Linked DNA regions of Drosophila melanogaster. Changing the gene in region 1 together with any one later gene gives a genetic interaction. Each region holds a gene or a part of one and is shown in the gene's direction. Other genes may lie near its edges.

What was found.
Region 2: of Pcf11 (region 1) and tut, changing one enhances a phenotype caused by changing the other (phenotypic enhancement), as found in Drosophila melanogaster (one study listed by BioGRID).
Region 3: of Pcf11 (region 1) and w, changing one suppresses a phenotype caused by changing the other (phenotypic suppression), as found in Drosophila melanogaster (4 studies listed by BioGRID).

The regions. Positions count from the first base shown.
Region 1 is NT_033778.4:14,868,054-14,872,924, reverse strand, and holds the start of Pcf11 (Pcf11 cleavage and polyadenylation factor subunit), read left to right. Parts: upstream 1-1,853; 5' UTR 1,854-2,005; intron 2,006-2,612; 5' UTR 2,613-2,693; coding exon 2,694-2,876; coding exon of another isoform or gene 2,877-2,954; exon of another isoform or gene 2,955-3,279; intron 3,280-3,892; coding exon 3,893-4,018; intron 4,019-4,081; coding exon 4,082-4,297; intron 4,298-4,362; coding exon 4,363-4,692; intron 4,693-4,753; coding exon 4,754-4,871. Other genes in the region: Cyp6a22 (cytochrome P450 6a22), read right to left, coding at 57-1,122.
Region 2 is NT_037436.4:8,209,055-8,212,581, reverse strand, and holds tut (tumorous testis), read left to right. Parts: upstream 1-1,838; 5' UTR 1,839-1,910; coding exon 1,911-2,024; intron 2,025-2,090; coding exon 2,091-2,269; intron 2,270-2,324; coding exon 2,325-2,724; 3' UTR 2,725-3,005; downstream 3,006-3,527. Other genes in the region: CG8006 (uncharacterized protein), read right to left, coding at 1-617. UniProt on the Drosophila melanogaster protein: RNA binding protein that forms a complex with bam and bgcn, involved in 3'UTR-dependent regulation of a subset of mRNAs. Preferentially binds a long isoform of mei-P26 transcripts.
Region 3 is NC_004354.4:2,790,445-2,798,185, reverse strand, and holds w (white), read left to right. Parts: upstream 1-1,719; 5' UTR 1,720-1,877; coding exon 1,878-1,949; intron 1,950-5,057; coding exon 5,058-5,331; intron 5,332-5,405; coding exon 5,406-6,060; intron 6,061-6,121; coding exon 6,122-6,437; intron 6,438-6,640; coding exon 6,641-6,772; intron 6,773-6,842; coding exon 6,843-7,457; 3' UTR 7,458-7,587; downstream 7,588-7,741. UniProt on the Drosophila melanogaster protein: ATP-dependent transporter of the ATP-binding cassette (ABC) family which transports various molecules including bioamines, neurotransmitters, metabolic intermediates and second messengers.

The DNA.
Region 1 (4,871 bases):
AGTGGTAAATGGTATCATCTTTGTAATATTTAAAATTCGTTTTGAGTCGGGCTCACCTGCTATGACCAGTTCCATGTACCGCAGCTCCTGCATGGAATCATATGTGAATTCACCGTTGTGTAACCGCAGAGCCTGGTCGATTTCCTCGCGTAGCTTTGCCTGCAGTGCCGGCTGCTTGGCCAACTCGTACAGGGCAAATCCTAGCGTTGATGCGGATGTGTCGAATCCCGCCGCAAAGAATATAAATGCCTGGGCGGCCATTTCCTCGATGGTGAGCTCACCGCGCTGCTTCATTTCGATCAGCAGGTTCATGAAGTCGCTCCTCACGATGCCCTGCTCCTCCCTCTGCTTCACAGTTTCCCGAACGATGCCCACATAGAAATCCGTAATGTCTTGATGGATTTGGCGCATGCGCAGAAACCTGGCCACTTCGGGGAAACTCTCTATAAATCCATCGACCAGCTTGCAGTGGCGACGCTCTGAAAAGGCTCTCCTGCCCATTATGGCGAACTCCGCCTCGGGATTCCGGAGGCCGTTGCATTCCACGCCAAAGGCACACCGTCCTATCACGTCCGAAGTGTAGCGAGCCATCAGATCACCGATCTCGAGGATTCCACACATGGCATTATCCGCCAACTCGCCACAAACTTGAGTAAGTTCCTCGCCCACCTCGCAGACCGTCGGAAACATATACTTCATCTTAGCTGAGGTAAAGGTGGGGGACATTTTCTGGCGCAAGGGTCGCCACTTGGGCCCGTCAATGCGGAATAGATGCCCAGTTAGAGGATCATCCCGCTCATTGTGATACATTCCCCGATCCTCAAAGTTGGCGAAGTCCTGTATGAGGATCTGTTTGGCCAGTTCCAGATCTGTGACCAAGACCACAGGTCTCAACATCATAAAAAATCCGGCAAAGGGTGCTCCATTGCCCTTGAACTTCTCATAGATTGGCGTTACAATGTCGATGAAATGTTTGTTTTTCCGAAATCCCTCCATATTCCCCACGGGAAACCGGGCCGGCTCACTGCCAATGCCCCGCCGGGTCCAGTAGCTATATCTCGTCCGCACGAACCAGAAGCCCACTGCCAGGGCAATAAGCAGTAGAGCCACTACATCCAGCATCCTCTCCCCGAATAGATTCACTATGAACTGAACACTGGACCAACGCCTCTATTCGCTCCGCTTACAATCAGCTGCAGTAGTGTAAACAGACCTAGGCAGATAACCTCGTCTCATAGAATTTAGGCGCACTGAAAACAAATCGAACTGAAGCTCGGACTTGACGAGCTTTTAACGGTGATTCAAGTTAATGCAATTGATATAGTGAGAGATAACTGTAGAACACCCGCCTTGAAGAAAAAGTCTATGCAATATATGCATTTATTCTCTGCTTACTATATGAGCGTAATTAAAAGTATGATAAGAATTTTGCATTTCTTATCTGTTTTTTTTCTTTCTTTTTTTATCTGATCTAATATCAGACTTATTATATAGTCTTCTTGAACTTCTCGACTATCAGATACCCGTTACTTGGCTAGAAGAAATGAAGTTAAAGAAACAATACTAATTTTCGGATCGCCCACTACCGCCACCTGGTGGTATATTAATTCAATTGGCAACGCCTATAAAATTAAATAGTGCATATTGCATTAAAACTAAATAAATAAAACACTTCTAACATTAATTTCTTTTTTAATTAGTTATACTGCAATTTTAAAGGCACTTTAAAATTTAACATTTCTAGTGGTTGGCAACGCGGTTTAATGCAAAAAATACCTTAATGGTATATTTTTAGTATATTTCCTTAAATAAAAATTGTATAAAATGTATAATTTCCATTTCACGTCGACGGCCACACTTTTAAGTGTAAGTCATCAAAAATACATCGCAGTTGTTACGTGAGAGTTTTCAAAAGCTAATTTTTATATAGTAGCAGTGCTTTTGTGAAATTTTTTCCTCGCAAAAGTGTCTGGCAGTGATTGTACAAATGTATTAGCTTAAAAAGGTATGTTTTTAAATGTTCTGCAGCGCGAAAAAGTAAATTGAAGTCGAACTGATAACTCGCGTGTGTATGTAGTGGTAACACAAACGTGGCTTTGTCTGGGAAAATCTCCGTTAAATCAATTTAAGCAACGAGATAGTTTCACTAAAACGTAAATATTTCGTGAAAGCGTGAAATGCGATGTACAGAAAGGAAAAACAAGCACTTTATTGGTTAATTTATTCGGGCAGGCCACACATGCGAAAATATGCTCATGGCCGCCATATTGAATTTTCGTCGTCATTCCGTACGTGTGTGTGTGTATATATGTAAGAGATTACCTTGTGTTTGTGGACGCGCGTGATTGTTTACGTCTGGTACGAATTACATACATAGATACGCTGTATACAGGATTATCTATCCACATAGTGCAGCCTAAGATTTCAGTGCATCACGGTTTATTACAAATAAAATGGGCAGAGATGAAGATATCGCTAACAAACATCGCAACCTTAATACATTATTCATCCAAAATATCCCGACAAAATCCCATTAATAGTGCAAACTTTTTCACACAAATTACCTTTGCTTTTCATGTCATTTAATTACTTTGTTATATTTTCCCTTGCAGTCGAAACATAGCAACTGCGACTACTTCAAACCAAATAACTTGATCAATATCCGGATCAAGATCTGGAATACAGAGTCCACAATGGAGCAGCTATTTCAGAATTACCGCGACGATGAGCGAAGGATCGGCGAGGAGTATCTGTCAAGTCTCCAGGACCTCAACTGCAACAGCAAGCCATTGATCAATATGCTCACGATGCTTGCCGAGGAGAACATCAACTACGCCCACATCATAGTTAAAGTGGTGGAATATTACATCAGCCAGGTTAACAAAACAAAAGCGTATTTACTTAAAAACAAAGACACTCCAGCTTACACACAGCTAATAGACGGTCGACACTAAAAGTGATTCTCCATATCGAAATTGTGATAGAATGTGCAGTTTATTGATTGCGGTTGCCCTTTGATTGCAGAGAAACCCAACGAAGGCCACACATATGCGTTTCTAAGACTCGGTTCTTTCAGTTGGGTTTTTCTGCAAACTCTTGGGCACAAATGGTAGATAGGTTCCTAATAATCTTAGTATATATCTCATAATTTGGGTTATAAACCGTGACTGATTTTAATCATCTACAAAGGTAAGAAGTTTAACCAACCTGCTCCTCGTTTCTTATTTCTTTCTACTTTGGATCCCAGAGTTTAAAGCTAAGGAATAACAAACAACCTTTAAAAAAATATTGAAAAATAAATAAAAAGAGAAAATGCTTAAACAATTGTCACCAAGTTGTCTTTTATTTTATACAAAAACTTTGACTGCTTACAATCAATATAAAAAAAATTGATGTGCAGCAATTTTTGTATTACAAAAAGAAAAGTGCAAGTTTTCGTAAAAGTAAAAAAAACTGCAGCCAAACAAAAACAAATGTCCATAATACGTAAGAGTAGTAAAAGCCTTTGTTTCTGCCACATTGTCACTGCGATTTTCATTCATATTCACTCGGCTAAGGGAACAGACCGCTAACATCATACGCCAACACTGTAACCCTTAATGTTTGGAGATCCTTAGACACCGCGTTTCCTCATTCAACACCCAATGCTTAGGAAAATATTTCTCTGTAGGCTAGGATATTGTTTGAGTTCGACCGCCTTGGCATGAAGGCACCCACCACCAGCAGATGAGGATGATGACTTCGGTGGACGATCGCTGACCCTGCTCTTGTGTTGTCCATCGGCCTGTCTCATTAGTTTTCTTCCAACCTATCCGTTTGAATCTCCGCTAGCGACGTTCCGTAGACACTTATTCTTCTTTATTTCTTACCTATTTTACTAAACTTCTAACAGGTGGCGCCCGAATTTAAATTGCCCATACTATATTTAATTGATTCGATAGTAAAGAATGTGAAAAGCAGCTACGTCCAATTGTTTGGACAGTGCATAGTCAACATATTCCTCCACGCCTTCGAATCGGTAAGCGAAATCATTTTCTTAATGTCAATCCAATGGTTCATTAATGTTATTTCAATCCTGCAGGTCCAGCACTCACAGTCGCAGGTTTTGGAAAAGGTGCGGGAACGCATGTATGCCCTGCGTCAGACCTGGAACGAGGTGTTCCCGCCATCCAAGATGTACGCGCTGGACGTTAAGGTGAAGCGCCTAGATAACAACTGGCCCATTACTGCCAAACAGCCAACTAACAAAATTCACGTCAATCCGGCCATTCATGTTAATCCGGATTTCTTAAAACCGGTAAGTGCCCCAAATAACTATTAATCCCTTTAGTTAGACCAATGTATCCATTCAATTGTAAAAAGGGTTTGGTTCCTGGGATGCCTGGTAACCCCACAATCACCAGCGACATGGAGGAGATTTTGCAAGCAAAAACTCGTGAGTTGCTGGAGCTCAAGAAGCGCAAACTGGAACTGGAGCTGGAGCAAACCAAAAAGCATTTAGAGGAGCAGGAGCGTCAGCTGACCCAAACCACGGACGCGATGGTTGGAGCACCGATTATTATGCCTGCTCCCACTCCAGCAGCAATTTGTCCGCCAATCACGGATCCCGGTATAGCAGTGCATAATCAACGAGCTCCAGGAGTAATGGGCAATGTTGGTCCCGTAATGCATAACATGCCAGTGGCTCCGCAGGTAAATTGTGAAATATGATGGTGGAAGCTATAAAAAATCTAATTCAACTATGGAATTACAGCTTTTTGCGAATAAACCAAAAGTCCATCCTGTCAATCCGGCACTGTTGAACTCGGTGCGCCAACGAGATCCGAGACTAGCCCGCCAGATGCATGCGGCATCCTCACATCCAGCTGCGC
Region 2 (3,527 bases), on another chromosome or scaffold:
TCCCGATTGAATGTGGAGCTCGATGGATGCTGCTTATTTCTCGAGAGCTCATACTCCAATAGTTCGACTCTCTTCTTCACAGTGTGACTATCAGCACCATTTGGGGACTCGAAGCCAGTCCTTGGATAAACTTGGCTATCCTTCGAGTCAGAGGATCGCGTATTTGTTTTTCGTATTATTGTCACAATGCTGGCAAAACTACTGGTCGTAGGATCATTTTCCGATTGTTCGGAAACCTCCTTGATGGGTTCCAGTTTCCTGGGTCGTAAAATTTGAGTCGAGCACTTCTTGAGCAGTGTAGGTGATTTGCCAGTAGCTAACTTCTTACATGGCTGGCCTCTGTACTCATCCAAAATTACGTTCAGATTCCTACTGTAGTTACGCACATCCGTGAACGGTTCCTTGAGCACTCCAAAGTCCTTCAAGTGGCCATGCATGAGCAGCATCAGGCTATTTCGGGCCAACTTCTCGCTGAGAGGAGCCTTCTCGAATATCTTTATCCATCTGGCCATGATGGGGCGATCCGACTGCTTAGCCCTTGCCTGATCGGCATACTTGTAACTGGCTAGCTGCTGCCTGAAATGGCGATCCAGTAACTCCTCGCTTAGATCCTTCATGGCCACATTCGCATATTCAACCGGAATCAACTGATTTTGTTCCCAAAAAATATTTGTAATTTTAATGATTTGAATAAAATGAAACCGCTTACTCAAATCGGGTAAGGAAATGCGGAAATATAAGTGGGACTAGTGGCCTTACTCGGCGACTGTCACCAAACGTCTCTCAACCGCAGAAAGGGGAGGGGGGTCAAAAGTGGAGCTCAGGGTTTCTCAGAGATGCTTCAAGTGGTGGGCCCACGTCTGGCAACAAGCACAAGGAGCAGCGACACTACACTTTAAACAAAGAATATCAGAGCTTACTTTTCAAAGAACTTAATGGATTTTCTTGTCGAAACACTCTTACCTGGTGCGTCTCTACACTACGTGGACTAAACTGGACTTCACAGTGATAGCTTTTGCATTTACCACTTCATTTAAGAAAACTGTTGTGTATTAATCTAACAACATGTTACCTCCCACAAATAGTTTAATGTCAGTAATTTGCTTATGGCCATTTCGAAACAATGAATTATTAGTGTAACAGCAGTAGCAACAAAACAGTATGCGGTTGCCACGTAAATTTTCATTAGCGCAGCGCGCGTATAAATTAGGAAAATGAAGCAGCAGCAGCGGCAGCAGGCACTTGAGTGCACCGCAACCTCCATCAAGATGCCCCCTGGTGGGGTGAGTGGGTGGTGGAGTGGGTGGCGGATGGGCGGCTTAACCGCAGCAACAACAACAGCGAATGCGATGCGAACCTACATACATACATACATAGGTGCTGCGGCTTGTGGCGAACTGTGAGCAAAAGTTGCAAACGACCGACTGCCTGCATAAATTTATATTGTTAAACATGAGCTAGAAAAAAGCACGCGCAGCCTGTCAAAAGAAAGCAAAAATAAAGAGCAAAGAAATTGCCTGACATGCAAAAAGCGGTTTGGAAAAAGAGTAAAGTAAATGCATAAAGTACATAGCAAAAATAGAATACCTTCGTATAGAGCTGAGTTCGCAGCAATGCCAAAAAAAGACCTCTTACGCAAAAATATAATATGAAAACACTCTCTATTTTACACAAATGTTAAACATTCAAACAAGTTCATAAACAATAATAAGTTTATGCCCCTCCGTTACTTTACCTAAGTGTTAAGTATAAAGAATTTTACCAACTTCATTGACTATCTGGCAACGTCGCGAGCGTTGTATGTTTTAAAGCTTATTTGGTCACACTAAATCATTGGCATCTTAGCTTTTTTTTTTTTTTTTGATGCACGCGTGTATGCTGTGTATTTTTTTTTTTTTGCTATTTTTAAAATGGATTTCGAGAGCAAATACTGCACCAGTCAAGTAAATGGCACTATTACCATAACTACGCGCAAAGTCCTTGATGAAAATCTAAAATCCTTACTGGATGAGGGAAAGGGCGAGGTGAGTGTCTAGTGAAGCATCTAGTCTCAAAAGTTTACGGAGACACTAATACGTTTTTGCTTCTAGCTGTTTCTCTCGTGTATACCGAGGAATCACAGTTGTTCTCCGCGGTGGATTGTGGAAGTGGCCAGCGAACTGGGTGAAGTTTACATTATGCGCTATAAGATTGATTTTTCGGGAAATTCTCGCGGCTACGCCTACTTGCAATATATCAATGTGGACCTCAAGGAATCGGCAATGCAATAGTACGTACTTCGTAATAATTTTCACATAAAACAGCACTAACCCTAATAATCCCAGTCTGCCAATGCGATTCCGACAGCTTTGCATGTGCTTAAGGGTGGAGCCATCGACCAACAATCGCGAGCTGGTGCTCAAAAACGTAGAATCGTCGCTTAGACCATGGCAAGTGTACCAGGAGATGTTGAAGATACATCCCTTTACCATCGTTCGAGTCTACGAGTATCAATTAGACCAGTTCTTCTATATATTTGAGTACCGCAACAACGACTCGGCCGCAAGTGCCCATCAGAGAGTAAGGAATTCGATCAGAAAATTCGGTGAGCATGCGCACATCTCCTGGTTGACTGCGGAGAACATCTTGAGCAGAGCCAGCGGTAGCTTCTGTTTTCAACGGGAAGTAAGCCAAAATCGTACTCGACGCGTTCCTCCCAGACAAAAGGGCTGTTTCAAGTTTTAAATGGAAGTGGTATCAAGTATGTTACTTTATTGGTTCATGCTACCAAATCCATAAGGCTCCAAATGTTTTGTTTGTACTACACGTAAGTAGGACGAAAATGTATAAAATACTTTAATACTTTAGTTATATTTTTTCTATTGTTAAATAAGTTTATAAGTAAAATAAGAGTACTCTTAAATAAGTCAACCATTTAGATATGAATGAAGATGTTTATTGCTTGATTTGTGTAAGTTTTTGTAATACGTGGAATTTGAAAACAAGAATATGTGTTTTGCAAAGTTAATCTCTGATTTTTTAATGAAATTTTAAAGCCAAATATCAAATCACTTTTAGAATGCATACTATACCTTAAAAAAAAACTAACCAAGCGGATTTTGGAATTCCTGTGGCTCTCTGGGCAGTAAATTATGTTGCTGCCCATGCGAATGTAACATAAACTTTCACCAGTTGTTAGGACAGGGGGAAATTATACACAGCATTGTTCCTGGCAAATCCTTTTGGCCCGCCGCTTCTCACTCTGATGAAATGCAGCCGCAGCTTGTTGACTTCATTAACTCTGGGCAAAAACAGCGAGCAGCCATAAAAATAAAAAAAAATAAAAAAAACAACACCGACAGCGCAGCGAAGCTGCAGTTTTTCACATGCAAATTAATGCAGTGTCTTTGGAGTGGCGGAGTGGCAGCCAGGACTTTCAGGGCAATGCGACAACCTGCGGCATAATGCAATTAAATGAGTGCAGCGAGCAGGAGTCGACGCTAGCCTCCGGCTGGCATTGTGTTGGACACGGTGTCTGGGTACCGGGT
Region 3 (7,741 bases), on another chromosome or scaffold:
TGAAAAAAACTTTCTACGCCTCAGTTCAAGTTACTTCCTTTTCGCTTTTCAATACGGTGTTATTGCATTGCATTGTGGAATAGCAAACCAATTTAAAGAATCCCAAAGGTAGGGCAAAAAAAAATGTTCAATTGCAGGGCTAATAAGCAAAAATCAAGTTAAGGCCACTCTAAAAAAAATGAACTGCATACTTATACGTATGCAATTAACTTTATTATTGATTTAGAGCGCATAAAAACGGCAAACTAATTAATTACAGCATTCCCTTAGAGCATTTCATAATCGGTTTTAAGCACTTTTTGTTGTAATGCCATTTTTCAGCTCTTTCGCTGCTGCGACAGGCGAGTGACAATAAATTGTTAAGTGCAAAAAGTTTACAGCATTTGAGTGAGTTAGTAATGGCAAACACACACGAACACGAACTTCAAGACGGTCTAAACCCGATTCGAGCTCCACTCAACCAACATCGAAGAAGCCCCATAAGTGTCACTGAGCGAAAAACTCGGTTAGTTGGCAAAAATGAGTGAAACATTGACGTTTCTTTGTTGTCTGTCGCTAGATCGGCCCACAAAGGAAGTCTCTTACGAATCGTACATACATCTAACTTTGAGTCAGCTAAAGATCTTCAGTGAAATAGGAAAATCATTTATTTCGAACTTTGAAGCTGTTGTAGAGCAGAACATATATGCATTAAAACTGGCACATGAAATAATGTTACTAGTGCTGAGTGAGACTTCTACAAATATCACATGCATATGCATAATTAACTTGCAAATCGAATCAAAAGCTATTATTCTGAGCTAAACTCTCAAAAGAAAACCATATTCATTTGAAGACCACTTAATCGTCGTCAGCAAATTAATTCCTGCAGATTCCTCGGCAACTGCAACTGCTAACCTGTTACCACATCGTCCGTGAAAATGGTATTGATAGCCTCCCGGAAAACCCGTCCCAGTCGAGATCCATATCCTGGACCAACTGGCCCCGATGATGAAGATTGATAATGCCCGGACAGCTGATGGCGGCAGTTCATGATTCCGGGGCCTGAGATGAGGTGCTAACGATGACGACAACGACCGGAGTGTCCGAAGTACGGGTGCGGATAGGCGTACGGGAAACGGGGAGTGCGGAATGCGCATCATCAACAGTCGCCGTTTGATAAATCATGCATGCAAAGTACAGTGCAAACCCCCGAAACGGGACGACAACAGGCGGATTAACAAGAACTCTCTTATTCACGATAAGAAGACGCTTCCCACTCAACCTAATCAGTATTCAAAGACAGCCACTCAGCTTATGAGTACTGCCCAGGTGGGGTACTATCATATTGGTGCAAAGGTGGTCGAATTTTTAATTATTTTGAACGGAACACATTAGCTAAACATAAACATGTTGTCACTAGTATGTATGTAAGTTAATAAAACCCATTTTTGCGGAAAGTAGATAAAAAAAACATTTTTTTTTTTTACTGCACTGGATATCATTGAACTTATCTGATCAGTTTTAAATTTACTTCGATCCAAGGGTATTTGATGTACCAGGTTCTTTCGATTACCTCTCACTCAAAATGACATTCCACTCAAAGTCAGCGCTGTTTGCCTCCTTCTCTGTCCACAGAAATATCGCCGTCTCTTTCGCCGCTGCGTCCGCTATCTCTTTCGCCACCGTTTGTAGCGTTACGTAGCGTCAATGTCCGCCTTCAGTTGCATTTTGTCAGCGGTTTCGTGACGAAGCTCCAAGCGGTTTACGCCATCAATTAAACACAAAGTGCTGTGCCAAAACTCCTCTCGCTTCTTATTTTTGTTTGTTTTTTGAGTGATTGGGGTGGTGATTGGTTTTGGGTGGGTAAGCAGGGGAAAGTGTGAAAAATCCCGGCAATGGGCCAAGAGGATCAGGAGCTATTAATTCGCGGAGGCAGCAAACACCCATCTGCCGAGCATCTGAACAATGTGAGTAGTACATGTGCATACATCTTAAGTTCACTTGATCTATAGGAACTGCGATTGCAACATCAAATTGTCTGCGGCGTGAGAACTGCGACCCACAAAAATCCCAAACCGCAATTGCACAAACAAATAGTGACACGAAACAGATTATTCTGGTAGCTGTTCTCGCTATATAAGACAATTTTTGAGATCATATCATGATCAAGACATCTAAAGGCATTCATTTTCGACTATATTCTTTTTTACAAAAAATATAACAACCAGATATTTTAAGCTTACCATGAAGTCCTCATTTCTTCCACCTTTCATTCTCAAATATTTTCTTGCTACACTACACTACACTACACTACATTATACATCGACCCCAAATAGTTGGATGTAGTAGATCGTAATTAGGGACGCATAACCAGTGGTGGCGTGGGAGGAGTCGGCTTAAGTTGGCCAACAACATTGCTGGGTGTCTATAACTCTAGGCTTGCCAAGATACTAGATACTGTATCCGTATCCATTTCTGGTTGTGTACTCGCATCTTCTACCTGATCTTAATACCTCGTTGTTTGCACGTCTCGCTCGACGAAAAATGTACAATCTAGTCTTATCTGGGTCATTATTTGGCTAGACGAATGCTTTGGGCTCAGCATCTGATATCTAGGTATCTTCGTGCGTATCTTGCTTTAAATTCTTAGCACCTCGGCTTGTATAACAAAATAAATAAGTGAGTACGATTTGCATATCTAGCCCCGGGCTCTTTGAAACAATTTTGAAAAGTCTCAAAAAGTTATACAAGGAGATAAGAACTTTAATTCTTTTGGGAAGTAAGTAACGCAGTAAAGGTAACAAAGTATTGAAAAATATGATATGTATGGAATATTTGAAGCCATCTTTAATTATATGTTCGTTGCATATATGTACATATTGGGCCGTTTACGCTCTGATATTTCCTTAATAATATCGAGTGGTCGTCAGCTTTTCCGCTGAATAATTGCGCCTCCTTCAGTATTTCGTTCTCATCAAAGTGAATGACTTTTGAGTGCACTCATTAGCCACTCGCACAATCGACAAAACGGGAGGAACAACAAATTGAGTCGCTTCTTTATTCAGTCATTTCAATTTGTCAAGTTCATCACGATACTCCTTCGCCTCCCTGCACAGCGCCATCTAGCGCCCACTCCTCGAGTTTCCTTCGTATTTCGTAAGTAATTCAAAAATAGCACGCAAAGTAAATAAAAAAAAAAGTAAGCCAAAAAATTAAATAAATATGAAATGTAGCATCTTTCGCTACTTATTTCAACAAAATACGAAAATAGGGAAAAGGTGGGAGAGTAAACCAGAGGAGGCAGGGAGATAAGAAAACCCAGTGGGAAAGGGACGGCGAAAACAGAAAAGAAAAGAAAACTTTTTAATAACATTTTTCGGCCTCATTTGTTGTGAAAACAATTTCGCCATGTCCCTCTATCTCTTTCCCAGCCATATGGCCATCTCGCTCTGCTCGAGGAGTGCCTGAAAACGGATATTACATTTTTTCGCGTCTACCTCTCGTAACGTCACCAATTGTGCTTTTTTTTTGGTAACAGGCCAAAAACTGGACACTGAGTGGCTAGAAGAATAAGCTGTCAAAGCATCGCAGCAGAAGATGAGCAGTGAAGCCTCGCTAAGGAGGAAATGCAACAGTTTTCAGGCTTTGGTCTTTTAGCTAGATTTTATATGTAGCAATGTAAACGATAAATCCAAATCCCCCAATCGTTTTGAAAAATAAATTTAATTTTAAATAGTTCAAAAAATGAAAGTTCTTAGCAGGGCTCACTGTAGCAAGGACCGCCAGGCGCTGAGTGCAAGGTGGACATTATTTTTTCTTGCTTTTATTGAATGTCAGCTTTTTATTTGGCCCTCTTCTTCGGATTTTGCCTTTCTCATTTGCTTGCATTTTTTTGCTTAATTTTTTTTATGATTATTTATACAAATTATTATGAGAGCAGCGGCGGATAAAATGCTTTCCATATTGTGGCCATCATTTTGTCTTGTTTTTTCCATTTTTTTTTTTTTTTGCCTCGACGCCAATTAGTGGATCCCTGTTATTTATGCTTTGCCGCAGGCCGCTGCGATGGCAAGAAACCCCACAAATGGAAAACGGAAAATTGTTTATGAAAATGAAAATATGCGCGAACGGAAGTGGTATGGGGCGAAAAGTTGGGGCGGGGAGGATGGCTTGATTTGACCATACCGCAAACGTCTTCGGTTACCGCCATTTCGAAAAGGGAAGCCCCACCTGGGCGAAAACTGACAGCTCAGTGGTTTTGGAAATCACTTTACCCGTAAACAAAATAACGTAAATAAGAATTTGTATTTCGGATTTATAAACTTAAACTCAATTGCAGAAGTAGTAGTTTGAACACTATTGCGTTCAACATAATTGGATCAAGTAAATGGACTGCTTTATACTGCTCATTGCACTTATCTACAAGAGATTGAGTTTTCCCACCACCCAAAAAAAGCCAAAGTATCCTTAAAGTTTTATATTTAATAAAAACAAAACTGGCGAAGCTCAAAGTCCCCAAACGAAAGCCAAAGATGCCAGCGATTTACACTCGCAATTGTCTTATGAGGTGGCAACATGGTGGAGGAACCTTGCCACTGCCACCACCCATCGTCCCATCGCCCCATCGTCCATCGCCCAACGACCTGTGACCCCGTCAACCGTCCACCGCCCACTTTCAAGGCCATCCACCAAGTGCCAGCCCTAATTTGCACATTTTAAATAGGCCTCGCCATCTCCTTTTTGGGAAACTTGGAAAACTCGGATCTTGGGCATTTTTATTAAACAGATGGGCTCCTTCTTTATAAAGCCGAGGGGGGGGGGGGGGGTTAGTGCCCGGAAACAGGGACGGCGGAGCAGGGATTGGCCAGGCTGGGCTAGATTTATGCACAGACGCCTTCATTTTTATGGACGAACGCCGTGAAATTGAAAAGTTTTCAGCTTGAAACCTTTTCTAGATGCACAAAAAATAAATAAAAGTATAAACCTACTTCGTAGGATACTTCGGGGTACTTTTTGTTCGGGGTTAGATGAGCATAACGCTTGTAGTTGATATTTGAGATCCCCTATCATTGCAGGGTGACAGCGGAGCGGCTTCGCAGAGCTGCATTAACCAGGGCTTCGGGCAGGCCAAAAACTACGGCACGCTCCGGCCACCCAGTCCGCCGGAGGACTCCGGTTCAGGGAGCGGCCAACTAGCCGAGAACCTCACCTATGCCTGGCACAATATGGACATCTTTGGGGCGGTCAATCAGCCGGGCTCCGGATGGCGGCAGCTGGTCAACCGGACACGCGGACTATTCTGCAACGAGCGACACATACCGGCGCCCAGGAAACATTTGCTCAAGAACGGTGAGTTTCTATTCGCAGTCGGCTGATCTGTGTGAAATCTTAATAAAGGGTCCAATTACCAATTTGAAACTCAGTTTGCGGCGTGGCCTATCCGGGCGAACTTTTGGCCGTGATGGGCAGTTCCGGTGCCGGAAAGACGACCCTGCTGAATGCCCTTGCCTTTCGATCGCCGCAGGGCATCCAAGTATCGCCATCCGGGATGCGACTGCTCAATGGCCAACCTGTGGACGCCAAGGAGATGCAGGCCAGGTGCGCCTATGTCCAGCAGGATGACCTCTTTATCGGCTCCCTAACGGCCAGGGAACACCTGATTTTCCAAGCCATGGTGCGGATGCCACGACATCTGACCTATCGGCAGCGAGTGGCCCGCGTGGATCAGGTGATCCAGGAGCTTTCGCTCAGCAAATGTCAGCACACGATCATCGGTGTGCCCGGCAGGGTGAAAGGTCTGTCCGGCGGAGAAAGGAAGCGTCTGGCATTCGCCTCCGAGGCTCTAACCGATCCGCCGCTTCTGATCTGCGATGAGCCCACCTCCGGACTGGACTCCTTTACCGCCCACAGCGTCGTCCAGGTGCTGAAGAAGCTGTCGCAGAAGGGCAAGACCGTCATCCTGACCATTCATCAGCCGTCTTCCGAGCTGTTTGAGCTCTTTGACAAGATCCTTCTGATGGCCGAGGGCAGGGTAGCTTTCTTGGGCACTCCCAGCGAAGCCGTCGACTTCTTTTCCTAGTGAGTTCGATGTGTTTATTAAGGGTATCTAGTATTACATAACATCTCAACTCCTATCCAGCGTGGGTGCCCAGTGTCCTACCAACTACAATCCGGCGGACTTTTACGTACAGGTGTTGGCCGTTGTGCCCGGACGGGAGATCGAGTCCCGTGATCGGATCGCCAAGATATGCGACAATTTTGCCATTAGCAAAGTAGCCCGGGATATGGAGCAGTTGTTGGCCACCAAAAATCTGGAGAAGCCACTGGAGCAGCCGGAGAATGGGTACACCTACAAGGCCACCTGGTTCATGCAGTTCCGGGCGGTCCTGTGGCGATCCTGGCTGTCGGTGCTCAAGGAACCACTCCTCGTAAAAGTGCGACTTATTCAGACAACGGTGAGTGGTTCCAGTGGAAACAAATGATATAACGCTTACAATTCTTGGAAACAAATTCGCTAGATTTTAGATAGAATTGCCTGATTCCACACCCTTCTTAGTTTTTTTCAATGAGATGTATAGTTTATAGTTTTGCAGAAGATAAATAAATTTCATTTAACTCGCGAATATTAATGAGATGCGAGTAACATTTTAATTTGCAGATGGTTGCCATCTTGATTGGCCTCATCTTTTTGGGCCAACAACTCACGCAAGTGGGTGTGATGAATATCAACGGAGCCATCTTCCTCTTCCTGACCAACATGACCTTTCAAAACGTCTTTGCCACGATAAATGTAAGTCATGTTTAGAATACATTTGCATTTCAATAATTTACTAACTTTCTAATGAATCGATTCGATTTAGGTGTTCACCTCAGAGCTGCCAGTTTTTATGAGGGAGGCCCGAAGTCGACTTTATCGCTGTGACACATACTTTCTGGGCAAAACGATTGCCGAATTGCCGCTTTTTCTCACAGTGCCACTGGTCTTCACGGCGATTGCCTATCCGATGATCGGACTGCGGGCCGGAGTGCTGCACTTCTTCAACTGCCTGGCGCTGGTCACTCTGGTGGCCAATGTGTCAACGTCCTTCGGATATCTAATATCCTGCGCCAGCTCCTCGACCTCGATGGCGCTGTCTGTGGGTCCGCCGGTTATCATACCATTCCTGCTCTTTGGCGGCTTCTTCTTGAACTCGGGCTCGGTGCCAGTATACCTCAAATGGTTGTCGTACCTCTCATGGTTCCGTTACGCCAACGAGGGTCTGCTGATTAACCAATGGGCGGACGTGGAGCCGGGCGAAATTAGCTGCACATCGTCGAACACCACGTGCCCCAGTTCGGGCAAGGTCATCCTGGAGACGCTTAACTTCTCCGCCGCCGATCTGCCGCTGGACTACGTGGGTCTGGCCATTCTCATCGTGAGCTTCCGGGTGCTCGCATATCTGGCTCTAAGACTTCGGGCCCGACGCAAGGAGTAGCCGACATATATCCGAAATAACTGCTTGTTTTTTTTTTTACCATTATTACCATCGTGTTTACTGTTTATTGCCCCCTCAAAAAGCTAATGTAATTATATTTGTGCCAATAAAAACAAGATATGACCTATAGAATACAAGTATTTCCCCTTCGAACATCCCCACAAGTAGACTTTGGATTTGTCTTCTAACCAAAAGACTTACACACCTGCATACCTTACATCAAAAACTCGTTTATCGCTACATAAAACACCGGGATATATTTTTTATATACAAACTTTTCAAAT